Xenopus tropicalis: one gene and its partners. The protein of the gene in region 3 interacts with the protein of the main gene of each other region in a pairwise test. Links are inferred from orthologs where the notes say so. Each region holds a gene or a part of one and is shown on either strand. Other genes may lie near its edges.

Region 1 (4,042 bases), on a different chromosome or scaffold from region 3:
ATGGGAACAGGGATTCCTACTTGTGTCTCAAGGCAGGACTTGTTAGTAGTTCTACTTTAAAGGATACTGGTTTCTGTAATGTTTCTCTATATCTTGTAGCCATTCTAACATGTCAGCTATGGAAGGACAGAGAGAAGAACGCTCCAAAATTGCTTCAAGACCAATTTTTTCAATGCTTGTCTCATACATGTAGAGGACAGATCCAACCACCTGACTTACAGAGTCCCTTATTCTCTGCAGCGTAGACCTGTAAAATTTAGCAATTGAAGAGTTACAAAATGTAGATAATCCTTGTATTCAGGAAATACTTTTTTTCAAGTGAAAATCTGATGCCCAGTTTGGCAACCTACAATATTTACTGCCTGTGATAATGCCCAACAATGTAAATAGCATTTTGTATTAGGCCATAAACAAGTCTGTACAGATTACACACATCCAAAAACCTAGACCTTTGGCTTTCATGTTTTAACTTGCTGTGGGTATGTGATTATTTTGCAATATCCTGCTGAGAGTAAAAGGTATAAAGTGATTAAAACTAGTACTGTGCAATTAGTAGTCACAATGTAATAATTTATTGTAGGAAAATATTAAACCTATTACTGATTTGGTTAGATTTTGTGGGAACCAAAAGGTAGTGATTACACAACTGACAATCATGTACTTCACACTGAAATACAACCAACCAGCTTGAGGTTATATTGTGGGGATATAAACCTTCCATACAAAATAAATTAACCTGTAACTTGTATGCAAGTGTGAGTATCAACGCCATTTCATATCTCTTCTTATTGAGGAAGAAGAAAATTGCTGCTAAAAATATAAGAATATTTATAAAGGCAAAACCTGCCGAGTACAAAAAAATGTGCATCCTATGAGAATGTATTGTCCAAAATCCATTCTTTTAGCAGTGTATCACTTTAGAACTAACAACTGCTATATCTACTCAGCAGAGTAGATTTAAGGTAAGGGAACATGGAGCGGATACTCTTTCTTTCACCTGCAGTTTTTACCCAGGCAGAGGAAAGTGGATCCACTGTCATGCGCTCCTTCCTGTAGAACCATTAACAGGCAGTGTCTGCCTGTGTGGAGCTACACATAGCGGATATTGGCGCAGAAACACTCAAGTATGCCTATTCGTGCTGATATCCGCTCAGTGTAGCACAATACACACTGAAGCTGTGTCAGTCAATGGAAAGATATCTACATTAAGTATGACAAGCAAGTAATTCAGTGTTTTCAGAACTGATGTACATGTAAAGTGATGCTTGTATCTTATCTAAAAATTTGCATGGTGATACCAGCACCGGAAGGGTTGAACCAACAACACATTGGACTTACAACTTCTGATTTAAGATCTCCAAATTAAACTCCATAGCTGCTTGTAGTTTAAAACGAAGATGTTCTTGCAGGTTAATAAAGCTGCTCAGGGGGGTTTTCTTAAACAGTACTCTCTGGCAGGCCTGTAGCTGTTCTGCTAGATTACTTAAAGAAGTTAGGTGTGGGTTACACTCTAAAAGTGTATTATTCCATTCTTCATGCAGTGGTTCTATGGCATCAAAGGACTTTCTCAGCGATTGCTGCACGGAAACAAAGGCTGGTTTCTCAGACATCCTATAAAACGATAAAACTGGTGAAATACATGTCATAAATCTGATGCTTTGCACTTAAAATAAAACTCAAGCCAACAAATCAGTTATACAGCGTTATGAATGCAAAAACACACAACACCTTTCTAAGTATTTAAACCCTTGAAAAAGATATACTCACATTAGCCTAGTAATATTTAACTCAGTATAGTAAAATGTATGCTGAAATGTCTTAGAGAAGTAGGCATATGTTTAAACTAAGTTGCAGCAAACATTTCTTAAAGGAGACATAAATTACATAAACTTTAATCTTGTAGACAATTATGAATAATATATGGGGCTGGTTTTACTTTGGTATAAAAATTAAAACTATCTGTAAGAACTGTCCCTTTTTGGAATTCCCTATAGATCCTCTCAGGTCCCTGTCCGTGTTTCAGATGAGAGGTGGGCATGTTCTAATAGTCCCTGCCAGAAGCACAGTAAAAGGGGGAGAGCCAATCACAGCCCTGCAGTCACACAGGCAAAGACAGGCTTCAGTTCCCTATCAGGTCAGTCTAGCTGCTGATTGGTTCCTATATAGTGTGCTGAGTGCCGCTGGCCTCCCCTGAACAACCTGGGAAAGGAGGTAGCCAGAAGTGGAACAGATAAATAAAATCAATAAATCAGCCCCAAACACTACTTTTTAAAGCACATTTCTTTTATATTTAGATGAGTACAAATCATTGGCACAATATGGTTTTTCACACAATATGTCCCCTTTATTTTAAAAACAATAGGCCAGATTATGGGTACATACCCGCTGGCATTTATCCGTGCGTTTTGATGTGTCATATCATGACAACCCAAGGGCCAAATGACTTCAGAGGGAGTGGACACCAATGCTAAAATTGCTTGCAAATCTATAATAGCAGCAATTAGGCAAACATTTGTTATCAGATTTGCTCTGACTCGAAGATTTTGGCACACATGCATAATTTATATTGTTTTAAAATCGCTTTATGTTGGCAATGATCAGTAATATGTGGCACCCGATAAAATCTAAGCCATAAAGTATTGTTAACTTTAACAAAAAAAACTGCTTAATTAGTTCTACCTATTATGGGAGTGGCTTTCTAGTACTTCCAGTGTTATGGGTATCAGTTTTTTTTGTTTTATTTTAAAGCAGGGGTAGGGAACCTATGGCTCGGGAGCCAGATGTGGCTCTTTTGATGGCTGCATCTGGCTCGCTGCCAAATCTTTAATAAAAAAAAAAATAACAGGGGGTGTGGCCTGCGCTCGGCAGATAGAAGACATGTTCTATACGCCGAGCACAGGCCACGCCCTCCTCCGCATTGCATCCAGCAACCGGCATCCTTGGGACCCACCCAACCTTGCCCCGCGGCCAAACATATTATAGGGAATTACATTTTAAAATATGTGGTGTTTATGGCTCCCTCAGCCAAAAAGGTTCCCGACCCCTGCTTTAAAGGTTAAACAACCTATGGCTACCTGTGCTGCATTTTTTCTTTTATTTTTTATACATAGTTGGTAAAAAAAAATCTATAGATATGGTACAGCTGGTATTTGTTTGCTGGAAAAGTTGGACCTAGACCTAGCAGTAGTTACTGCCAGGAGTTGTAAGGAACAGAGGCATTGTTGCATGCTTGGAACAGTGATTACAGGAAAAAATAAGTATATCCACCCCTATATTAGCAGTTACCACAGTGGAAGATGTTCTACATAACACTACCAGAATAACATTAATAAATCTAAGATTATTTTTATAAGGGCGAATCATCGGCTCAAATGTATATAAAAGGTGATATATTTCAGTATTGCTTTCAATTATTTACTAAGAAAAAAGTAAGGCTATCCGTATTACATTGATTCGTGTCCTTAAACAGCATTACAAACAATGTCATATATAATGTCATATAGAACAGAAAAGGTAAAATAAAAACAGCGTCAACTTCCCAATTCAAACGCACGTATTTCACCAGACCTGGAAAAGCTGCTTAGCTTGCCCGCTATCATTAGCACAACTGCAACGTGAATACATTCACCTTTTTTTTTAAAGCCGGAAATGGAAACCTACAGCCGCACGGCATGAAGGGAATTGTAGTTTAAAGTCTTGTTATTGCTATCGAGGTGACTGGCGCGACAATTGTTTATTCCTTATTTTCCTTGGTAACAATTGCAGTTTAAGTTGGTTTAATACCATAATTGTGCATGAGAGTAGCTAACGTAAATTTTGATTTGTCGGCGCTGCTATAAAGGATATTTTATGATAAATCGCTAGAAACTACAAATCCCAAAAATATTTAAATAAGAGGGAATTATTTCCGGATCGGAGGTAACGTTCGGTGGTTTCCGGTTTATAGAGAAGGTAGATTGCTTAACATTTTGGTTCTTCTCGGTGTGTGTTTGTGAAAAGATTATAGTGCCAGCATGAATGAGGAGGATGATAGGGGCAGGAA
Region 2 (3,500 bases), on a different chromosome or scaffold from region 3:
GAGGAGATAATTTAAAATAATAAATACAGAGGACTCCTATTCAGAACACTTATAATGAGAGGGTTTATTCACTTGTGACTGCATCACAATTTTTCTAAAATGTAAAATATTTTGGCATTTATAAAAAAAAAAAAATTGTCCTTTCATCTCTTCAACTCCTGATTAAGAAATAATATTCCACAGAGACTATCTTATTTTTCCTTCAAATAAAACGTATTCAAGGGTTTTGGAAGGAGTAATTCCTCATAACCTTGCTAGGATCTGCCTTCTTCATTGACCTCTGCTATATATACCCAAGCAGGGACTTGAAGCATTTACTCCCCCAAGTATACATTTAAAAATCAAGTGGACCCTATGGCATACTACAGATGCAAAGATCCAAGGATGGTTAGGTATAAGGAACTCATTGAGCTACCATCAGTCAACCCTAACGCCAACATCAAAAAGCTAAAAGCAAAACTTCTGATATATGAACACAATGACCCTCCCCCCACAAGGCTTTGTTTAGGTTAAATACTTTCCTTACCTTTCGGATGCTACTAGAAATAATCTAAAATATTTAATTCACATTCATCAGCTTTAAAATGTTCATTTGTATTCTTCATGGCCATTAAATCAAATACAGCAAGTTGTAATTGATGTCCAACGAGAATTTAATCTTACAGAGGTACCCAGCGCTCCCCAGTGGACAGAGGGAGTATTTTCAGCACTTTAATACTAACCAGTATCTGCAGTACATGATGTCAGCCTACATTCTAGGTTTGGAGCTGTGTAAGTTACAGTCACACTGAATCCTACCCAGCCTGTTATTAAAGAATAAACATTGATGAAACATTCAAAAATTATTAATACTTGAAATACACCCAATCGGTCAAGCAATTATGTTACTATTTCATGCTGAGTTCTGTTAGCCCAGTTGGGGCACAATGGCTGCCATACCTCTTTTGCCCATGCTGGTTTCTCTGCAGGGTTTAGCCCTTCTTTGTAATGATAGAGTGGTTTCTTCTCAGATGACCTCTGTTGCTGCTGTTGTTGTTGCTGGAGAGAAACTAGGTAATCTCGCTCTTGCTGAAGCTGTCTCTGAAGTCGCTCTGCTTGTCTCTGTTCTTCCAACTGCTTACGCTTATACTCCTTTAAGGAAAGGTAGGTAAAAATCAGTCACAAGGCAGATGTTGACTCTTTGGCCCATTTCTAATTGTTGCAACCAACCCACCAGAGACTTTTCTGAATAGGTTTGTTTTTCTCCACAAAATAGAATGCCAAGATGTTTGACCTTATTATAGGATGTCAAGTGAAAATAAAAAGAAAGTATTTAAAAGGTAGGAATCTGAACTTTGTGGAGAAAATGCAAAAACAGTGGCAAGTTAGCCTGGAAAGCAAACTACACTCAGACTTGCTCCAACATAAACAAAAAAGTGGCCTCTCCAATAAAGCATAAGAAATTCTTTAAGGGTGTTATCTTAAAAGGTGAAGTTAAAACGTTTTCAATTCACGACTTGGTTTTTAATAAAGGCTTATTTAAAACCAGCTACATTATTTCCATTGTAAGTAAAACTGGGATGTTATGTGGGTTTAAATAAACAGGAAAAAAGAACATTTTGTTTCACAAATCGTTTTAATGACGTAACAGGATGGTAACAGTCTTTGATATCAAAGAAGGTGATTTCAGCTGGATACGTATAATAAGTTTGTCCCACTGACTTCCCATCTATGATAATTGCTGTTGTTGGCAGAGGAATGGTGTGCCTACGGCATATGAACAACCCGCCAAGTCATACGCGGCTATGCAAGAACCACTGAAGCATCCTTAGTCCTTTTGCTCAATGCTAATTCTGCAAAGCCTAAAGCGAGCACAGCTCTCCTAGGGAGCACAACAGCCATAATTCTGCTTCATGAGAACAAAGGTGTGGGTTTGTGAGGCACAACAGCAACTGACAGCTTTGCTGAACAAAAGGCTACACAGCATTCCATTACCTTGCAGGCCAAGGCTTTACAAGCCATAATTACATGCAATGGCAATGCGCAAGGAATAAACTTATTTCTAGACATGATTCATTTGCCTTTAGTTGCAAATCTGTTAGCCTGGCCCTACTTTATTAAAGTGATTTTTATGGCATAGTTTTTTCACTAAATTACACTGTTTACATTGCAAATAATTCATTTTCACTTTTAAGAAATGTCATTATTGAACCAATAATGTATTTTTAGTAGTAATATGTAGGCAGACATCTAGGGTCATTGTGCCTGAGCCTGCACTAAACAATAAAACTGCTTTCAGATAAGCTATGGTTTGTAATATTCAAAATTATTTCCCAACTTGGCTTCCTATTTCTCCTGCTTGGATACTATTCTCATAACTACCACTACGTAGCGCATGGGAGCATTTTTAGCAATGCAAATAATTTCTGACTTCATTTTGATATATACGGCATTGAAACCTGCTTTCTCCAAGCTTCAGATAACCTGCTTTTTGAAGGGTGAAGGGGTCTGTGCTGTGAGGAACCAATCCTTCTCACTATATTTAATATATTTGGTTTGTATATTTGTATATAGTTTGTTTGTGTTATCACTATATATAATAGGAGCATGGAGGAGCAATCACCAAACAAAAAGACAACATGCAGAAGACAATCCCATTTCTGCATATTATATATATATATTATGCTTGTTTGGATCATTGACAACCAAAAAGCGGACTAATCTCGAGTTTAGATTTGAGTTGTTACGAATATATTTTATTGTTCTATTCATCTGTCATTATCGGGTGACCTGACCATTTAAGGAAATATATTAAGCAAATGTTGCAGTAGTACAAATGTTAGCAGAAAGTGAAAATGCCTGAATTTATAATTCATTAAATGGCCACTATACTCTGGAAGAATAGTGATTAGTACAGGGGCATTTAGATCACCGTGACTCTCCCTGAAAGGATTATGGCACTCTGGCATGCTATCACATTTATAGGAAAAAAAAAAGACACAAATGTATTGTAAAAATCTAATGCGAAAAAAACCCTTTAGTTCCAAATCATGAAAACCTATTTTAATATGAAGAAGATCCTCTCTGTATTATTTTTAATGAAACATATTGGTACAAAGTATTTTAATGAGTGCAACAACATGCAAGGCACTTGTTCTGAAAGATGAGAACTTTGGACATATGACCAAGAAGTAGTAGGTAATGCAACACACAATGGCAGGAATGAACTGGGGAATGACTCCCATTACCAGAAGTAGAGCTTGCTCCTGCAGTAACTGCTGTTGCAATATCTCTAACTGCCTCTGCTCCTCCTCTAATTGTCGCCTTATGTATTCCTGGGTTGTGCAGCAGTGAAAGAGAAAGAAACGAGGAGAAAGAAGTGATTGAGCAAAAGAATTGTTAGTACCTTAGACACCAATTACCAAGAAAGAAACATAGCGGGTATTCAGAGCAGAGAGTACACCAGTTAGAGAGATAAATTCATGTTAAACCATACATTTATACAATGCTGCCCAGTGTTT
Region 3 (3,500 bases):
GCCCATATATGGCAGTTTACTATCTGGTGCTAATATCTGCCTATATGCAAGTGCACAGGAATTCTGGGAAGAGTCTTGGACTTGGTACACACTCAACAAGAAATATTTGGGAAACCTGTGTGAGATGTGTTGAGACTTAGTGATCTTCTAGCCATGCAAAAGCCAAGTGACAAAAACATGGTAGAATATGGCTCTCACTTTCTGCCAGCTGCTTTTGCAGTATGTGGAGTTCTTGCTGTACTTCTGCCAGAGAGAAGACTGGTGGGCCACTGACCATGGGAGGATGAGCACCAAAGGGTGGAAAAGGTGCACTGGGTGGAAGGGCAGCACTCAGCACATTAACTGAGCTAGGTGGAGGGATAAAATGTCCTGGAAGTGAAAGAAAGGGCAAGGCCGGACAATGTTGACATTGAAAGAAGAAACTAAAACAAAATGATATTTGGATACATATGAATCAATGTTGGCAGGCATGTGTAAAAAATTTCTCTCACATCCCAAAACTTTTTAAAATGTGTTCAGATAATGGTTTCAGACACTGCTCCTCATATCTGCCACAACATAAAGTAGCATGTTCCAGTCAGAGAGGAATCTGCACTATTCCCTTTGCGAGAGGAAAATGACACACCCGGGTATGATATAGTAATACACAATTGATCCCCGTACCTTGCAGAGTTTCTGCAGAGTGAGGCTGCGCTGATTTTACATGGAGCTTGGGCTGTTGCTGAACTTCATGAGAAGTGGAAAGTGATGGTTTTGCGGGGTGAGAAGCCACGTTATCGATATGAATGGCATCTATGGAAAGCAGATGGCAAATGAAAGATGACCATGATGGAGTTCAAGTGTCCCAAACAATCCACAAAATACTTATTGTCTTTAAGTTAGTTTGTAGGTTTAATGTATACTCTGCACACACACACATACTGTATATATATATACTATGTGTGTGTGTTTGTATTTATGCATATAAAGACTGTATCTTCAGTACAGTTCCTTACAGACCTAGCATCTTCCCTGAACTGTGCCATCTAAATCTATACAGGATATTACCTGCGACGTGGGTGCTTCTGGTATAGTCGCTGGCTGTGGCCACCTCTGAGCAGCCATCTAAATCATCATTGTTGGAAAGCTGGTCATCGGACACAAAAGAGGTCCTGTCAGATTGATCTGACTCAGAGATAGCATGGCTGCTGGATGGAGTAAGGGAATGGCCTTCGAGCTTGGACTGAAGAGACTCTATGATTTTGTCCTTTTGTTGAAGCTCTTTGCTAAGCCTGTCAAAAACCAAAGTGTAAGTCATGTAAGGAATGTGAATATGCACTAAATTGCTGAATTTGAATGGTTAAATAGATTTTCAGGACAGAGAGCATACAGGGAAAGGAAGCATGGAGCACATATTCCATATGGAAAGAAATGCAAAGGGTGTGCCAAAAAAGTAACAATGACTACCAAGGGTAGGACATTTGATTGTACAAGGTGAGAGTGACTGAACCATCTGATTAATAAGTCCATGCATGGCCCGGTGTGTGTGTGTGACTCGTGGCCACGCTGTGTGACATTATTGAAGGGGGCCCCAGAGTACAATATACAGTCAGTTGTGACAATTACCTGATGGCCAACAGCTCATGTCTGGATTTATCATCGACATCTGAACGTTCTTCTGAAAAAAGGGGAAAAAGAAAATATTAATTTTCAGCAGCTAAAATGTAATCATCGTAGGGAATCTACTTCCAATGAAACATACACCGGGAAGTGATCTCTTATTAAAAATCAAATTGGCAAATCCAGTGCTATGGGCAAATATGACAAAGCTGATAGGGTCCAAACTCGAAGTAATGACTTATACAGTACAACATATAGTTTAACAATTTAAACTACAAATGTGCATGAATCAAGTTGAAAAATTTAACAAATATTCATGGGCAATGTGTACTAATGAATCCATTACTGGCACTTATTCTTCTAAGTATAAAAAAAGGCTTACTGCTGTTGAGTTTATTGTTCAGTCTCTCTGCTAGCTGGGTCCCTTGAGTCAACTGTTCACGAAAGCCCTGGCCCATGTAATAGTCTATATCGTTGGCACGAAGAAGCTCCTCAAAGGATTTAATGGTGTCCCCTAGATGTTGAGTGAGTATATGGCAGACACTTCGGCCTTCTCGCAGTTTCTGCCTTAGAAGTGACAGCTCTCTAGCCTGAGCTTGAATTAGGGAGTCGTATTTCCTGTAAGGATGGACATATGTGTAACTAATTGGGATTTAAAAAAAAAAAAAACATGCAAAATATCATTATTGCAGACATTAGTGATTTTAGGCCCCTGACTTTTGCTTCATAAAAAAAAAAAAAAGCACGGCAGTTGGGGCCCGCTGGTCACCGTACAAGTCCTCCCCCGCCCCCAACCTCCAATGCCAGCTTCCCCTGTTGTTACACCCTAGTCTTAGATATTTTGTTTGTGCTAATGATCCACCTAGAACGCATCACAATAAAAATTTCAATCAGGTACTTTAATGTTCCAGCAGTCTGATAAAGTGAATATAAAACAAAGTGCAGTACAAAAAGTACCCATTTTTTAATCACATTTATTGTTGTGGAATGATAACTTACCCAGGCCATGTTGCAGATTTAATCTGATCCTGAGCACCAACATCTCTATGTGACTGATGGAGCTGAGCTTCTAGCATAGACACCCTTTGGACAAGCTGCTCTAAGTCTTTGGTAGAGTTAACACCAACTGTATCTGACTGCCAGCCTTCATCTTCATCTGTAATGCTGTGTGATGTGGAGCCATGAAAAGAGACGCTGTGCTTCAAGCGATGGTGGTTAGCATAGTCACTAGAAGCAGAGAATGAGCGTGCTCGGCTTTGTAGGTTACTTATCACCTTCTGTGCCTTCTGTAATTGTACTTTAAGGTTCTTGACATGTTGCTGAAGGACTGTGACATCCTCTGATTTCTCCCAGTCTAATGTCCAGTCATTCTGCCCACATTCATTGTTTTTCAAAGGTGAGCTAGTTACTAAGGGTGACCAGCCTTTATACGGAGAACTCGGCTCTTCCATAAGGCTGTTCTCACTAAACAATTCTTCATGCTCTTCATATTCTGCAGGCAAGAGACCAATTAGAAGGTTACAACATTAGAATGATGTGTAGATTTTATTTTTATAAAGTATTTCCTAACTCCTGAATTGTGTGGCATGGGATTATCAAAGGTTGGATGTATGTCCACTGATACCCAAGCAGCCTGCTTTTTCTTAAGCAAGTATTTGCTATAAAGTTGGCCTGCAAGCCCATAAGTAGACATGACCATTATGCTGGCTTAAGATTTAGGCTAAATGTAGAAGTTTAGTTCCTGACATTATTGTGCTATAAACACAATACAGAAATGCAGTAAAATAAACCTCCTGTGGGTGGAAAAATGTATGAAAATAATGACACAAAGAATTGTGCAATAACTACCATTATAATTTTGTTTGGAACAAGAAGGTTTCTGTTTACTTCTATCTCAAACA
Region 4 (3,500 bases), on a different chromosome or scaffold from region 3:
GTAGAAGTGTCTAACCACTCTGTGGGAGCCAGAACTCTTAATGGTTGGTAGTGGTTCAAAAACTTATTTCACTCAATGAAATGCAAATCAGTTGCTATCTTTTATTTAAAGTTATTTTTTCGATTTTCCTTTTGATGTGCTATCTGCCACTGTTAAAATAAACCTACCATTGAAATGATACTGTTCTGAGACTTTTCATTTCTTTGTCATTGGACAAACTTACAAAATCAGTGAGGGGTCAAATAATTATTTCCTCCACTGTAAATTAAACAACTTTTTTTCAGCATTACCTGTGCCAAGCAGAAACCATTTTCCAACCTTACTTTTCTCTGTGATGGATTCAGGAACTTAAAGTCCCTCCCAACACCAGTTACCACTATCTACAATATGCAGCTCATTTTCAATGAATGCCCCTATTTGATTGGGCTGCGGTATTCCATATGACACGCCTACTTGGCACTATGCTTTGCCATCCTGTACAAACCTGAGGGGAAGGCAGAACTAATTTGCTTCTCTTCTTAGTAAGTTCCGAGACTCCCCCAGTTGTCTGAAGAATGGCTGATGGCAAATCAGATTCCTTCTTCCTTTTAATGTTCTGTTTGTCTTTCTTCCGGTCTCTTGCTTCCTTTTCTCTGATTGATCAAGAAAGGAATAACAGGTTGAATTCCCCTTTCAATGACATGTCAGTATTACCCAAAACCGATTGATATCTCTAGCTTAGCATTACATTTTTGTAGCCTTACAATATAACTTCTACTACCTATGGGGTTATGTAATAAAAGGCACAAAGTTTGCCAAGAAGCAGTAACCCATAGCAACCAATCAGCAGGTAGAATATACTGGTCACCAGTTTAAAAGCAAAGATCTTATTGATCGCAATGCGTTACTGCTTCTGGGCAAACGTTATGCCTTTTATGGGGGGATATTGCGCAACTGTTGGAATGAAGCAATAAGGCAGTTCCCTGATATATTCAGAAATACATATTAGCAGACAGCAAAACATACGATCTGAGGTCGCCATCCAGGTCTTGCTGGCGGAGTTTTCTGAAGTCGGCATTCAAGGCATCATAGTTTTCTTCAGATGTATTATAGAACCCGGGGGCAGGCTTCTTTTCAAATGGGATTTCGGCGTTGTAGTCCACGCCGCGCTTCTTTTTCCTCTTCTTCTGAATTTCGATTCCGGCAGCTCGAAGCTCTCTCCTCTTCTGTAGGGCTGCAAGACGTCTGGAAAAAGGGTAGAAAGGGGCTGAATACAAGATTTCCAACCTGTATACACAGTGTACCCAAATATATCCATTCCATGATATTGACAAGATACGGGTGCTGAGTACAGGTACTAACCACTTAATTATAAGTAAACCTTTTATTTTAACATCCGCTAAAATTACTCTAAATATCCCCCAGAATAGCAAACCTTTCTCCCTGCACGCAGATTTATTTTTCTCTTCAGCAGCTGAATAGCAGTTTTAGTTATTTCCTTGTCTAGCATGAAGCTCCACCCCCTTTTGCTTTCTGAGCCCTCCTTCTCTATCAGATGCCCTACAGGGCATGCTCACTGCCTCTGCTCCATACTGCGCATTCCTGTTTAAATTTAATTGGAGCAGAGGCAGCGAGCATGCCAAGTAGGCACCCTTTTTGAGGTCATCGTAGTCAGAGAGAAGGGAAGCAAAAGGAGGCAGAGTTTTACACAAGACAAGGAAGTAACTAAAAGAACTGCTGTTCAGCAGCTTGTAATAGAGAAATAAAATTAATCAGCATGCAGGGAAAAAGGTGTTTTATTTTGGGGGCTGTATAGTTATTTTAAAAAGAAAAAAAAAAGATTTATTATTTCAAAGTAATTTGAAGTGCTTATGATGCCACATGAATAATCTCCATTCATGCAGACACAATGCTAGAAGCGTAAGAGATAATTAGGGTGTGCAGAGAAACACGGTACCTGGCTTCTTCCAGCTGCTTTTCTCGTGCTTTCCTCTTGGCTTTTTTGCCTTGAGTGTTGGCAAGACGAGCTCTAGCCTCCGAGAGCATCTCAAGCTCATCTGAAATAAAGATGTATCACTGTTAATTCAAAGGGGCAGACCAGCTCTTGTTAATCAAGAGCCCCCTATTTCATTTCATATCCCAAATCCATAAATCCTACCCTACTGCAAAACAAGCAGATGCATCTTCTTTCCATCCAAGCTTGACAACAAATGTCTTCATGTACTGATAAGTATAGCAGCAATCATACCACCCCCTCCCCCAACAGCATCTTATTCACTGGCCTCCAAAAACCCTAACTGTGAAAGAAGGTTACCTTCATCCATGTCCACTGGATCTGGCCTTGCTGGCTTTGTTTCAGGATTTGGATCAATTTCTCCTGGCTTAAGCTTGCGAGGATCGTCTGCGGACTCCTCCTCATTGTCACGTTGCGCAGCTTTATCTCTAGATAAATAAGACCCATATTCACAGTTAGTTTTATTCAACCTTAAAGAACTACTAAACCCTACAAATTAATATGGCTAGAAATGCCCTATTTTGAATAATGAACTTATTGCACCAGCCTAAGGGTTCAGCATCTCTATAGCAGCAATGATCCAGGTCTTTACAGTTGTCACAGGGGCTCCCCATGTTGGATTTTATCAAAAGAGTCTGAGACGCGCACATGCTCAACGGACTCTGGGCAGCTGTTGATAAACTAAGCTTAGAGGCTGTCAGGAAATATTAAGCAGAATATATATATATATACACACATATACACAAAGTATAGTGTGAGTGGGTACCTAAGCTAACTGGGGCATCTTTGGGGGCACAGATCTTCCCTGCTAAAGGGCTGTGGGTGCCTTGGGCTGATACAGGAGCCCTAAACATAATGTACAACATTTCTATTTTATTTCTTTAGTTCTCCTTTAAGGACATGGGCAAATGTTAGAGTAACCTAGAATATATTGTAATCTTTTGTCAACCCCCACCCCCAGGACTTCTAAAGAGTCACTCCTGCTTGAGTCTGCAGCTTATAGATGGGACCAAAAAATGGCTTCCATGACCAATAACTGGGCCTTGGCTAGATATAACTCAGACTGTCTGAAAACTTTTATTGTGCCATGAACACTGTCCTCCCCCAAGTGGTCTGCAACAGCTCCCTGTGTGAGCTTATCATTGGTCCACAGGCCAAACTATGTGGCCTACCAGCAGTGAGGCCTAAGCAAGTAATATTGCACTTATTTGGCTTCGTCACCAGTCAACTGGATCTTAAAGGAACAATTCAATGTAAAAATGAAACTGGGTAAAGTAGACATACTGCATAAAATAAAAATGTTTTCAATATAGTTAGACAAAAATGTAACTCTACTTTCCCCTTTACAGCTCTCTAAGCTGTTAGCAGTCAGTAACCAATCAGTGACTAGAGGTGGGGCCATATGGGACATAACTGAACAGTTGTGTCCCATGTGGCCCCACCTCTAGTCACTCACTAAGAGGTTAGAGAGCTGAAAGCAGGAAGTAGTGTTCTGGCTATTATGTTA
Region 5 (4,042 bases), on a different chromosome or scaffold from region 3:
GAGTTCAATTAGTAGGGCTTGTGCTAGTTGTACTTTTTGCATATTGTTTTAAAAGACACCTCTCCTCCAACAGAAGAATCTTCAGAACAATTCTGTGAATTATTCCTCTGTCGTTGTAGCTTTCTTGAATAACAAAGGGGTTATGTACTGTACCACACACACAATACATTGTGTAAAGTGCAAAAAGGCATTAAGTGTCGCACTCTTGCACATGTAACCTGGGGATTAGAAAATGAGCACTTAAATTAGCTTGGAAGCCTTGCTGTGTTGGAAAAATAGATTGATTCTCTACTGGGTACCATTTGGTTGTAGTTTCCCAAGGGATTTATTTGTTTTCCTGGTTTCTTACTACTATATATATATATATATATATATATATATATATAATATGTAAATAAGGGATGATAATAATAGTACTCCTGTTTTTTAGGAATGAAACTGGTTGCTGATCTTATAGCATTTCATAGCAGTGCATGGATAATGGTCAGAATGAATTATTGTGGATAAGGTTGATAATAAGATGTTATCATTACCAGTAACCAGAATGGGTCTGCAAAATGTAATTATCTAAAGGTTCCACATTCTTTAGTTACAGTTATGAATTGGAGTATTTAGGGCATAATTACATTGTCCTTCCACTGACCAATTCCCTGGGTTGAAAGGAACCATCTACATAATATAGTAAATACTAGAATTCAGTTTTGGTAAGGCTTTGTAATATTTTAGCTGTTTAGTGTTATTCTTCTCTTCTTACTGTCATTAGTAATTGGAGAGAGCGCTTAAATGCTTGCCTGTTACATATCTGCTATCACCTTAGTGACTGCAAGCTTGTTGTAAGAAATATTTATTGTGGCAAGTGCAGATATTTAGCAATAAATAATTCAGCACAGCAGGCATACAGCAGCTGCTAGGGTAAGGTAGCAGATCATTTGCATGTCTGTAGTAGACGATATTACTCTTTTTTGTTGGTGGTGTTTTGTGGGCAGATTTGATTGTTGCTTTCCAGCACCTACATTACAAATGAAGGTGACGGGAACAATAATTTTCCGATGCAAGGCAGACCTCTTAATCTCAAATATTTCTGTTGATAATGGTTCTCATTGTTTGCTCGAGCAGCAGTCGGATTACAAGTGGTCCAGCTTGGGGAGGCTGGCTACGATTATTCAATTTTCACACTGACAAATCAGGCATGTGGAAAGGAAAGACGGGAGGAGGGAGGTGTGGAGGGTGTAGGGGAAGGGAAGAAAAATACGGAGGACATAGGTTGCTCCTACTGAGTAAAAGTATTAATCTCTTATTTTTTACCCCTTCTAAAATTCCTTCTGTTTATGAAGAGCTGATAGGTGTGGTTTCTCTGGTACCTGCTTTGAATGCTTTGATTCCATCAGGTTGTTACATATGCACATACCTCTCAGGGGATTTATTTGGCAGTTATGTACTGAAGAAGAGACTTGATTCCTTTTTTATTGTTTATACACGCACAGATATCATTCCTGTTGGACTAATTTTGGGGAGCAAAGGTTAATGTAAGTATTGCATTTACATCTATATAACATGCCATGTAGGATATTAAGTGTATTTATTCTGCTCACTATGAGCTTTTTTAAATGTTCTATCTGGCATTTTCACCCAGACCTAGTTTAAGCAGCTGACAGTTGCTCACGGGATAGCTTGTCACCTGTGTCCTTAATGCAACGGAGAATGATGCACATGGTTGTTTGTCTTATATAAGGAGAATAGGAAGTATGAAGGTTTCTGTGGGTTAAATGCTCAATTTTATCTTTAATCTTTTTGCCTGTGTGAAGTACGGTATATTGTGTCTGTTTCTCTCCCATTCCCTTTCTCTGACTCTCCCTCAACCACCCCCACACAAACTCTCTCACACATACACAGCACCACTCTTGCATACAAACACACTCAAATATTCATTCTTGCACACACACTCATACATATCTGTATAAAGAGAGACTCTCACAATCACAGACATACATACACTTTGATCTTCATCACCTATCAAACATCTTAAATAATTAGGTACATTTTAACAACAGGGATTATCTTTTTTCCTTAAGAATAAAGTTTTTGTTGGATTAAAAATAATTATTGTAAAGCTTTTTCATCCTGACAACAGCTATTGCATTATTATTTACAATATTTTGGTAAGTTACAGACCTTTGTAAAATACTACCATCATAGACCGACTCGTCCTGTTGAAATACTCTGTTGCATGTTGTAATGTAGTAAAGAAGTATTAGACAAATGGCGTTTCATGTTTCAGAAATCCATTTTTGGCAATATAATACATATATATAGCATATCTTGCTGATTGGACTGATTAAGGATAGACAAGGGTTGCACCGAGAGATTGTTTTTTAAATCCTATACTAATCAGTTACAGATATTTTATTTTGTAGATGCTGTTCAAATGTAATGAGTTACACTATAATCAAATGACCTGTCCTAATGTGTTTGTATGCATTTGTCTTTTGCAGAGCCACTAGAATAAATTTATTAGCTATGGATGTATTCATGAAAGGGCTTTCTAAAGCTAAAGAGGGTGTTGTGGCAGCTGCAGAAAAAACCAAACAGGGAGTGGCAGAAGCAGCAGGAAAGACAAAAGAGGGTGTTCTCTACGTAGGTAGGTAAAAAACTAATCAATATAATGTCATCTGTTCAATTACAATCCTTATCTCCATTTTTCATCACCCTGCAAAAAACACAATAGGATCTATCATTTGTCTTCCGTGTCCTTGGAATACAAATGCAAATACCCTTTAACATTTGTTTATTGTGTAGAAGTTTGTAGCAGTAGTTGTCCATGGCAGAATGGATCTGTAACCCCTGGAGATCACAGAGGATCTCCTTGGTGGTAAATCCCATACATGTCTGTTTTAGAAGCAATAGCCCACTGTACAGTTTTGTAAGCCACAAGACAGACCACTACAGAAACTGTAGGCTTGATAATAGATTGCCCAGTTCTAATCACATTGTAGCCTGTTACACATATTCTTTACATTATGATTTTACAAAGTGTTGTTTCTTTTGAAGGTATATTGCAAATCTAATTTACACAATACAAATAAATAATGACTAAATTTAAATGCTACTCTTTATAATGACAATTAAAAAATTAGGGAGAGGGATAGAAAGAACATAGTTCAATATATTCTACAGATCTGTAAAATAGAAGGGTGAACACATCAATATAGTTCTCCAAGTGCTCAGGCAAAGGAAAGAGGCATAGGAACCAGACCAGAAAGGTCAACTAGGGAAGATTATGGGACACACTGCCCCCTGAAACCTACAAAAGACCTGAGTTGTGGTCCAGTACACTACATTTTAATAATAACACAAAACTAAATGTCCTTAGTTCTCTTGTGTAAACCCTACATGTTCCTATTATGTATATAATTTGGGTACATCTCCCTCACTCAGACAGCATCATTTGTACTGCATATATCCCCAAAGTTCACCAGCACCATATTATTTTCCTAAAACAGATAGTAGCTTTCACCCACCCGCCATTATTAGTGATGTATTTGCAAACAGCAACTTTATGCTGTAAAATTCATGCAACTGAGACTGCAGGCTTACACAGGCAAAACTTACTTTGATAAACATTTTTGGTTGGTTTGAGCACTCTAATGTTTAATCTGAGCTCAGAAGACATGGCTAGGAGAAAAATAGAAGCAGACAGCTAGAGCAGAGCTTCTATGGGAACCAGCAATGCCATCTCCTAATTGTCTGCTAGACTGGAGAGTCTAGTAATCTGAGTTGAGAAGAACTGAGCATGCCCAGTAGCCAACAGTCAAAGCATATTCCTGAGGAAGGGGGCTGAGTGGGTTACAGAAGAAGAAGGAATCCTAAGTGATTAACGGGATGCTGCAGCCTTACTATTAACCTTTTAACAACAAGAGTGACATGTAGTTAAATATTTCAAAGAGGCTGCTTACTTATTACATGTTTGTGGGGGGTTCACGTGTCCTTTAAAATTAAAATATGTACATAGAATAAAGTTTGCACAGTGCACATATTTATAGTC
Region 6 (4,103 bases), on a different chromosome or scaffold from region 3:
GGTTCCTAGAACACTGGGCTGACTTTTCTTTGGGGTACAATCTATACAGCCATGACCGATTGCTCCTTAATGGAATGGGGGTCCATTGTGCTGGGGAAAAAAAATGGCTAAGAGGCTGGAGGAGTGTTTAAAAAAGGCAGGGGGGGGGGGGTTATGGGAAAGCTAGTGTAGATCTGGCAGTGGGATAAGCAAGGATACATACATTTTACCAGCTAAGGAGATTCCTCTGTTACATGGAAAACCCCTAATAGTAACCTCAGATCTAACTCTTAGTTCTGTAATGTAAATATTAGAGGGAAAAATAGTAACCTCCACGGCATGCTGGCAAATGCACAGAGCTTGTCAGGGAAATTAGAAGAGCTGGAGTCTATTGAATGTACTGACAATTAGGATATAATTTGTATCACTGAGACCTAGTGAGATGAAACAAGTGACTGGGCTGTGAATATACATGGTTACACCCCTTTTAGGAGGGATAGAGGGATTAGAAACAATGGAGGGGTTTGTCATTATGTAAAGCCATATACTAAAGAAATTAGCAGAGACAGCAATTCAGTTTCATTTTGCTCTACTGGTTGCAACTATAGGTAAACTAAGCATTCATTCACACTAGGGATAAATGGGATGACTCAAAACCCACGAGAACCAAGCCCTAGAAGCGGGTTTAAGAGGGTGGCAGGTAAAACTGCAACCAGGTGATGTATTAATTCTAACCCATCTCCTGTGGTGACTGGTCCCACCCATATAAGAGTCATCGGAGAAGAACCACATAAAAGTTATAGTAGAAGCTGGGTTGGAAAACAGCAGGTTAGGGTTGAAAATGTTATGAATCACTCATCACTAATTTGTTTTTATTCAAAATCATCTTTTGACTAAAATGTACATATCCAGACCTGTTAAATTTCACAAATGATAGTGTATGGATAAAGTTCCGTAATCTTTGCTATAAAGTATTTCTATTAATGATTATTTTATTCAGGGGCTGGCCAAGCCGACCGGGCACCCTAGGCAACCCAATTGGCCACCCTGCACCCCACCTCTCATGTGTGTACATGAGAAAGTGCACTGACATCCCGGGTAGGATGCGAGAAAAGCAGCTGGGGCAATAGTGTGTGTACTAGGGGGTAGGCAGAAGAGGTAACTGTCACACCCCCACATCGTTGCTCCCTTCTGACTACCCCAAGTTCTGGCCCGGCTTTATTTGACCCATGTAACCCTTGGCGTCTCCAGATAGTTGCTACTTTACCTTAGTGGAGGGTTCTTATTCATAAACATTTCCATTGCCTTTTCATCTTCAGGGTTAATTTGTACCTCCTCGTTGAGGGTACCTTTCTCCAGACTGGCTGCCTTCTCCAATGAAGGCCACTCATCATCTTCAGAGTCTGAACCCTCTGCTCTGTTCTTGGAATCTGAAGGGCAAGGATTTACAAAAGATAATGATTGATTTGCCAATATACAAGCAAAGATAAATATGAAGAAATAATGACCTCTAATTTGTAAATAAGTTAATTCAGACTGTACTTAGTGAATGCTACAAGGTCTGTTTCTGTGGAGCACCGGTTCCAAACAATTCCCAGGGTAGGCCCAAGAGAACATGAAATATTTGTAATGCGAGTTAAGGGTCACAGTCTGAATACATTTAGTGCATGTTAGGCTATATTACACACTTTTTGTTCTAATTACAGCTAGTATAACTGAGCATACTGTACCTTGTCATGGCTAAATAGAACTAGAAAGCAGCACTGCCTGTATGGTACCTTTAATTTAAAAAGGGTCCTAAAAACATTTTTGATAAAATCAAATCTTAAAAATTAAGATGAAGGTGCAGTGTACAATCCATTTTTGCACACATGATTCCGGTCTTTTATAACATATACACTAAAGTATATATGCTATGTGGAGTATAATCATTAAAGGAGAATGCAAGTCAAAATTTAAAAAGCATACTGCCCAATAGTCCTCCTATTGTTTAGTAAAAATGCCACACTTTTGGCTCACCTAATCAAATATTTACTCAGTCACACTTACTTCACATATTCTAGAACAGGCAGCCATCTCTAAAAAGGTATTCTCCCTTCCTTTCCCTCCTTGCTTCATACTGCACATGTGTTTGCATGGAGATGCATCAGCATATAAAACAGCACATTAGATATCCTTCATTTTATCACAGAATGAAGTTAGCAAATTATTTATGTACAACTTTTCAAATATTCTTATATGTGTATGACTGTATCATATTATATACCTGGAATGTTCAATTTGAACCAGCTAATGAGCATTTGAGCATTTCTTTGGCCCCCAGTAGACTTTTTTTGCATGGCAAAATTTCAATATAATCTGGCCCTAAATGGATTACATTAATGGATTATTAAGACTGTCCCATACTCGTTTCTATGTATTTACAACTACAGCACTAGTTGTTGGTTATGACTCAGTCTAAAGACTCCCCACTGATTTTATATACCGGTTTAAAAACTTTTGTTTTGTATTCTGCCTTGGAAATGTTTCTTTACCCTTTTTTACCTAAAACAGTTGTCCTCTCTTTAGGGGTCACATTCCCCAGACTATATTCGGCCTCCAATTCCTCCTGCTGAATACGGGCCTGCTCCAGAATCCTTCGGGACAATTTCTCGTCCACGTATCCATCATCTTCGGCGTCGTCTGTAGGTTTCCCCTTGCGCTTATTACGGAACGAGGGTCTAATTTCTCCCTCCTGTTCGATCTGATCAGCTAAGGGGAGTAAGCGAGAAGCAGCTCCCCGAGAATTTTTGTGCTTTGGCATTTTCCTGACATACACGTGCATAGATCCACACACTGCGCATGCTCCTATTCCCCTGGCATCGTACGCCTCGATGTGGGACTTGCGTGAACCGCAAATAATGACAACAATTTTGAGCGCCGTGACGTCATAACACGTCGCTGTGTTTTGTACAATTAAGTACCAGCATGGGAGTGACTTGGTAAGTGTTTGTCATTTTTAATGTAGTAGTAGAAAAAGAAGAAACGTCATTTTGATGTTTGCAGATACGTGTTAACTTCTGGATTGTTTTTATCTTTTGTAAACTAAGTTTACGCTTACTTATTTGCATGACTGCTGCTTTGTTAATTATAGAAAAACGGAATCCTACGAATTCAACACTGCAGTGCAGTATCACACTAAGAATGCTATGGGTAATAGGGAGACAGTTAAAAGATATCCTTTTTTAAAAATCAACACTGTAAATATAACCTGTTGAAAATGTATTCTGCCTCTTATTTTCAGGATTTTTTTTTGCCTTTGTTAAGGAATAATAGAATTTTTTAATGATAATTTTGAACCCCCAATAGCGTTGCTGGTAAAAAAAAAAATGTGCTGGATGCCAATGTTATTAATAGGGTATAAAGTTATGAATATAGGAAGACTGATATACTATACCAAAATATATCTGTCTTATGTTTATCTTCCTTTCTTATAAATAACATTAACAATAGCCATGATTTCTTTTTTTGCCTAGGCAGCAACCATACTTCCTATTGCTGTATGATTGCCTTCAGCCTGCATCCTCCAAATGCCACCATTGTACATAACCCACAATGCATTGGAATGCTCCAGGAAAAGAAAATCACAGTAAATTGGATATAGATTTTCTCTTTTCCTGTTCACATTCTCATGGCAGTCCGCACAATTGGGAGGGAACATACACATACCAAATGCTGCAAAATACTTTACTTTTTTATTCAAAATCTGCAGAAGCAGAAACATTTTTTAATGCTTCACAAAAATATTAGGACACCTCCAAATTGCTGCTTTGAAAATCTTTTCTGGTGACGCTAAACCTTTGAGTGCCCATGATGCTGCCATACTGGATACATCTTACAATATACATGCCAGTGTTTGCTTAGCTGCACTGGTAATATGAAGAGAGATTTTGTTTTTCTTAACTTCTTTGCCCTCTTTAGAGTCATCTTAAAGGAACAGTAACACCAAAAATGTATATATTTTAAAGAAATTAAACTATAATGTACTGCTGCCCTGCACTGGTAAAAGTTGTGTGTTTGCTTCAGAAACATTACTAGAGTTTATATAAACCCTGCTGTGTAGACATGGGGGCAGCCATTCAAAA
Region 7 (4,187 bases), on a different chromosome or scaffold from region 3:
ATTCCCAGTACACAGAGGCCCAAACAGCCCCCCCAGCCCAATAAATAGTGACTGTCTGTGGCATCTTACAGCAGCCCCTCTGGCATTCCCAGTACCCAGAGGCACAAACAGCCCCCCAGCCCAATAAATAGTGACTGTCTGTGGCACCTTACAGCCCCCCTGGCATTCCCAGTACCCAGAGGCACAAACAGCCCCCCAGCAGCCCAATAAATAGTGACTGTCTGTGGCACCTTACAGCCCCCCTGGCATTCCCAGTACCCAGAGGCACAAACAGCCCCCCCAGCCCAATAAATAGTGACTGTCTGTGGCACCTTACAGCCCCCCTGGCATTCCCAGTACCCAGAGGCACAAACAGCCCCCCCAGCCCAATAAATAGTGACTGTCTGTGGCACCTTACAGCCCCCCTGGCATTCCCAGTACCCAGAGGCACAAACAGCCCCCCAGCAGCCCAATAAATAGTGACTGTCTGTGGCACCTTACAGCAATCCATAGACTGCCATTTTGGGCCTGAGGGGAGATTTGTCACCCTTGGTTAAATCTGGGTTACTGTGGGTGACAAATCTCCCCAAAATGCTTTGCAACCAGCAGTAAAGTAAGTTGACAGTGGGAAAGCATATACAGTGCTTATTTCCTTGCCCGCGGCAGCCCAGATTTAGCCATGGGCAGAAAATCTCCCCTTGTGCCATAAGCCTTAGAGGGTACCTGCCATTTTGCTGGGGGGGGGGGATAAAAACTGCATTGTGGGTAAAAAAAGATAGCATAGTGACCTATTCATATCAACATCCAAGGGCACGGCTATCAATGGGAGCAGGGTGGCACGTTAAGTAGCATTCCTGCCCCACATTGCTGAGCATTACGTGCAGATTGGGCACTGTGTGCTTGGCATCTGAGTAACGTTCCTCTGTGCCATTGCTGTGCATCCTCCAGCAATATAGGGGAAAGTTAACTGGCTCCTGTTGATATTGCCCCCATGTCGGAGAATTTGTGGGTTCCTGCATGCTGTCAGTAAGCTGTGGAGAAGTTGTTACAATTTGTAACATCAATGTTTTAGTCCCTTCTCCCCTGCCAGGATTTCAAATGATGCAGAAAGAGAAGAACTGTTTTGCAGCTGGATTTCAGCATATAAAATGGTATTTATTCCTACTTTTTGAAGGAACAGATTACAGTGATAGGGATTTGGGGGGTTTCTGTGCTGTGTGGGGCTCTGTAACACATTTTGGCGCAGAAGCCAGAGTTCATCTTTAATATTCTGCAGACTTTATTATAAGCAAATAATTCCGATTTCCTATTTCTCTGAAATATTAGAACAGTACCTTGTATGAGATGGTAACTAAGCAGCACAGATCCATGTGAGTGGCAAAACAATCCTACTGGGTTTATTTCAGCTTTTAATTATTAAGTATGGAGATCCAAATAATGGAAATATACCTTCCCCAGGTCCCTAGTACACCTGTATAAGGATTCCTACCCTGGGCTGGGGTCAGATACAGATTAGAAAGTAGAAGGCAGAGTGCCAACGCTCTATACATCATTAGATCTGCTTCATACAACACAATGTACATATAAAGGGGCAGTTTACATTGAAATGAACTTTTAGTATGATGCAGAGAGTGCTATTCTGCAACAGTTTGCAATTGGTCTTCATTTTTAATTACTTGCAGGTTTTGATATATTTTTCTTTGTGTTCAACAGCTCCCCAATTTTACATTTTAGCAGCTGTATGGTTGCTAGGGTCCGATTTAACCTAGCAACCAGCCAGTGGTTTAAAAGGTAGATGGGAATATGAATAGAAGAGGGCCTACATAGAAAGATAAGTAATAAAAAGACACAATGGTGAAGGTGAAGCAGCGCTTTTATACAATTTATATGGAAGAATGAAAAGATGATATTTTCTCCCAATCAAAAAGCAAACCTTAACTGTCGCAAAAGGCTGTCAAGGGATGCTGGGAGTTGTGGTCCAATAACTTTAACTAAGCTCTTTGCCACTCTCTGTACTGTCCCTGGCACCAGATAGGAGCTAGGCCCTGGGGATGGGACACCAAGCAAGGTCACACCTACAGGCAAAAGACAAGTGGGGTTTATGCAGACAGGGGCGCTCTCGCAGGAGGGTACAATTAGCCACTGAGGCTAAAATAAACTTTAGGCCGTATACAGGCCGTGTGCCCCGGTGACCTAGCCCCATGCCGCCTCACAGTCCCTCGCCACTATAGCTTTCCATTCTACCTGCCAAAATATACATCGCTCATTGGCTTCACAGAACGTCCGTCAAAACAACTAACCACGTTATAGGTCTAACAGACGTCAATCTAACGCTAGCCCCGCCCGAGCAGCGTCATATATTTAACCAAGGGGTAATTGGCTAAAGTGCCAAGGACATTGGAATCTGATTGGCCGGTCAGCCTGCAGCTTGTTAAAGCGGTTGCCTGTAATTGGCTGGAGTGAAAGGAAGTCCTAGGCGCCGCTGACGGCTCCCAGCCTTGGAAGCCGGGGTCCCTTACTTCGTAAGGCTCAGTACTGCTGTTTCCCGGCCTTTAGGCGATATCCTGTCAGAATCCATCCCCGCCCATTCTCCCAACTAGAAGCTCCCTCACTGCAACACTGTGTACTCTTTCGCGCTATCCACTCACCTTGGCGAGCACCGCCGCCTGGGCCTTCCTGCACACCCGCAGCATGTTCTCCGGTGTGATGGGGAGGGCAAGCTCCGGGAGCGCTCTCAGTACGGCATGAATGGAGGCGCGGTCCGTGTAGCACCTCTAGCTCCGCCTACGTCATTCGCCGGGGTACGCCCACTATGGCATGACAGCTTGATTTTTTTTTTAATTCAACAGCTTTATTAATAACACTTCTGAGAACAAGATAGGGATTTGCGTATCCAATACGGGTCTCATGGCTGGGGCATGCTGGTACTTGTAGTTCCTAACAGGGATATCGTGTGTTGTGGTTTATCGCAGTGTTATAGAGTTTGTACCACATGACTTTTCGCACTACGTATTAATAAAGGGGACTTTCACCATGAAACTGGCTTTTGCGCAATAAAATGTGGTTAAAATAAACTTTACACTCTCTGTGCAGCTCTGTGATGGCTGAAAGCAGTGCCTGCCTGGTTACAGTCTGTGCACCGCGGGTTCTGACTCACAGCAATGTAGCAGAAGCAGCTGATACACCTAGAGAACTATCCTTTGCATAGTTTCACAAGTCACAGCTGTTTCTGTAATAACTTTGTGTAGAGTGTAAGCTCTTTTGGGCAGGGCTCTCTTCACCTCTTGTACCGGTTATTGATTGCTTTATATGTTACTCTGTATGTCTCCTTGTAGAGTGTAAGCTCTTTTGGGCAGGGCCCTCTTCACCTCTTGTATCGGTTATTGATTGCTTTATATGTTACTCTGTATGTCCCATGCATACCTCCCAACATTTGAAAAATGAAAAGAGGGACAAAAAGATTTGGTGCGCGCAGCGCGGCAATTTTTTTGACCACACCCTCTTTTGTGACCACGCCCCAATTACCACACCCCATTAAAAAAATACTCCTTTTATATAGTTAAAATGGCGGGATCAGACGCAAATGTGCTATACTCTCATACTGTACTGCCTAAGGGAAACATTATAGCAACTCCTACATATAAATACAAATATAGAGAGAAGGCAGTGAGTTATATGTGAGTTATAACTATGTACCAGTTTTGCCCCCCCATACACAGGTGCCCCCCATACACAGTGCCCCCATACACAGTAGCACAGCATGTCATGACACTCATTGTTGCACAAGCATTACAGTGTATGTATAAGGCATACATTACAGTGAGAAGTATAAGGCAATATCCTTTCAGCAATACTTTTAATAGAAAGCAAAATGTATTTTAGATATTAATGAATGCAGGGAGTTGTAGCAAACTAACATGGTTAAGCTAATTACCCTGCAGGTAGTATTATAGATGATACACTGACCACCATCAGGGTTTTGTCCTGTACCAGTAAGGAAGACTGGGGTTAAGGAAATGTTGGCCTAAAGGTTCAGGATAACTCTGGGTAGGGAGGTTATCAGAAGGAGACAGCTAAAGAGAGCTCAGCAGTGAAAGAGGTGTAGGGGGTAGCAGGTAAACAGCTTAGTGAAACTTGTACCGGGCAGGGCCGGATTTCTGTTTTGGGCGCCCCGAGGCCACCCCTGTCGGTCGTCCCCTCCCCACCCG

Evidence for each region.
Region 1: the proteins of pde4dip (region 3) and c1orf109 interact in binary tests that used the Homo sapiens proteins (3 or more experiments, as listed by UniProt). The two-hybrid records come from large-scale screens. The link is inferred for Xenopus tropicalis from reciprocal best matches to the Homo sapiens genes PDE4DIP and AIRIM.
Region 2: the proteins of pde4dip (region 3) and tnik interact in a two-hybrid assay, tested with the Homo sapiens proteins (2 studies listed by BioGRID and IntAct). The link is inferred for Xenopus tropicalis from reciprocal best matches to the Homo sapiens genes PDE4DIP and TNIK.
Region 4: the proteins of pde4dip (region 3) and cdc5l interact in a two-hybrid assay, tested with the Homo sapiens proteins (2 studies listed by BioGRID and IntAct). The link is inferred for Xenopus tropicalis from reciprocal best matches to the Homo sapiens genes PDE4DIP and CDC5L.
Region 5: the proteins of pde4dip (region 3) and snca interact in a two-hybrid assay, tested with the Homo sapiens proteins (2 studies listed by BioGRID and IntAct). The link is inferred for Xenopus tropicalis from reciprocal best matches to the Homo sapiens genes PDE4DIP and SNCA.
Region 6: the proteins of pde4dip (region 3) and bysl interact in binary tests that used the Homo sapiens proteins (3 or more experiments, as listed by UniProt). The two-hybrid records come from large-scale screens. The link is inferred for Xenopus tropicalis from reciprocal best matches to the Homo sapiens genes PDE4DIP and BYSL.
Region 7: the proteins of pde4dip (region 3) and immt interact in a two-hybrid assay, tested with the Homo sapiens proteins (2 studies listed by BioGRID and IntAct, with this or other methods). The link is inferred for Xenopus tropicalis from reciprocal best matches to the Homo sapiens genes PDE4DIP and IMMT.

What each region holds. Positions count from the first base shown.
Region 1 is NC_030678.2:86,154,160-86,158,201, reverse strand, and holds the start of c1orf109 (uncharacterized protein C1orf109 homolog), read right to left. Parts: upstream 2,801-4,042; 5' UTR 2,559-2,800; coding exon 2,383-2,558; intron 1,612-2,382; coding exon 1,339-1,611; intron 248-1,338; coding exon 68-247; coding exon of another isoform or gene 52-67; exon of another isoform or gene 21-51; intron 1-20. UniProt on the Homo sapiens protein: Part of the 55LCC heterohexameric ATPase complex which is chromatin-associated and promotes replisome proteostasis to maintain replication fork progression and genome stability.
Region 2 is NC_030681.2:111,604,333-111,607,832, reverse strand, and holds part of tnik (TRAF2 and NCK-interacting protein kinase), read right to left. Parts: intron 3,315-3,500; coding exon 3,228-3,314; intron 1,132-3,227; coding exon 940-1,131; intron 1-939. UniProt on the Homo sapiens protein: Serine/threonine kinase that acts as an essential activator of the Wnt signaling pathway. Recruited to promoters of Wnt target genes and required to activate their expression. May act by phosphorylating TCF4/TCF7L2.
Region 3 is NC_030680.2:118,185,742-118,189,241, reverse strand, and holds part of pde4dip (myomegalin), read right to left. Parts: intron 3,092-3,500; coding exon 2,599-3,091; intron 2,218-2,598; coding exon 1,982-2,217; intron 1,658-1,981; coding exon 1,606-1,657; intron 1,272-1,605; coding exon 1,048-1,271; intron 793-1,047; coding exon 664-792; intron 370-663; coding exon 199-369; intron 1-198. UniProt on the Homo sapiens protein: Functions as an anchor sequestering components of the cAMP-dependent pathway to Golgi and/or centrosomes.
Region 4 is NC_030681.2:148,158,413-148,161,912, forward strand, and holds part of cdc5l (cell division cycle 5-like protein), read right to left. Parts: intron 2,422-3,500; coding exon 2,294-2,421; intron 2,037-2,293; coding exon 1,937-2,036; intron 1,225-1,936; coding exon 1,006-1,224; intron 633-1,005; coding exon 485-632; intron 1-484.
Region 5 is NC_030677.2:78,431,629-78,435,670, forward strand, and holds the start of snca (alpha-synuclein), read left to right. Parts: upstream 1-1,242; 5' UTR 1,243-1,526; intron 1,527-1,928; exon of another isoform or gene 1,929-2,034; intron 2,035-2,074; exon of another isoform or gene 2,075-2,159; intron 2,160-2,492; 5' UTR 2,493-2,517; coding exon 2,518-2,638; intron 2,639-4,042. UniProt on the Homo sapiens protein: Neuronal protein that plays several roles in synaptic activity such as regulation of synaptic vesicle trafficking and subsequent neurotransmitter release.
Region 6 is NC_030678.2:70,761,285-70,765,387, forward strand, and holds the start of bysl (bystin), read right to left. Parts: upstream 2,801-4,103; 5' UTR 2,783-2,800; coding exon 2,524-2,782; intron 1,410-2,523; coding exon 1,247-1,409; intron 1-1,246. Other genes in the region: med20 (mediator of RNA polymerase II transcription subunit 20), read left to right, coding at 2,947-2,960. UniProt on the Homo sapiens protein: Required for processing of 20S pre-rRNA precursor and biogenesis of 40S ribosomal subunits. May be required for trophinin-dependent regulation of cell adhesion during implantation of human embryos.
Region 7 is NC_030677.2:17,822,759-17,826,945, forward strand, and holds the start of immt (MICOS complex subunit MIC60), read right to left. Parts: upstream 2,801-4,187; 5' UTR 2,673-2,800; coding exon 2,628-2,672; intron 1-2,627. UniProt on the Homo sapiens protein: Component of the MICOS complex, a large protein complex of the mitochondrial inner membrane that plays crucial roles in the maintenance of crista junctions, inner membrane architecture, and formation of contact sites to the outer membrane.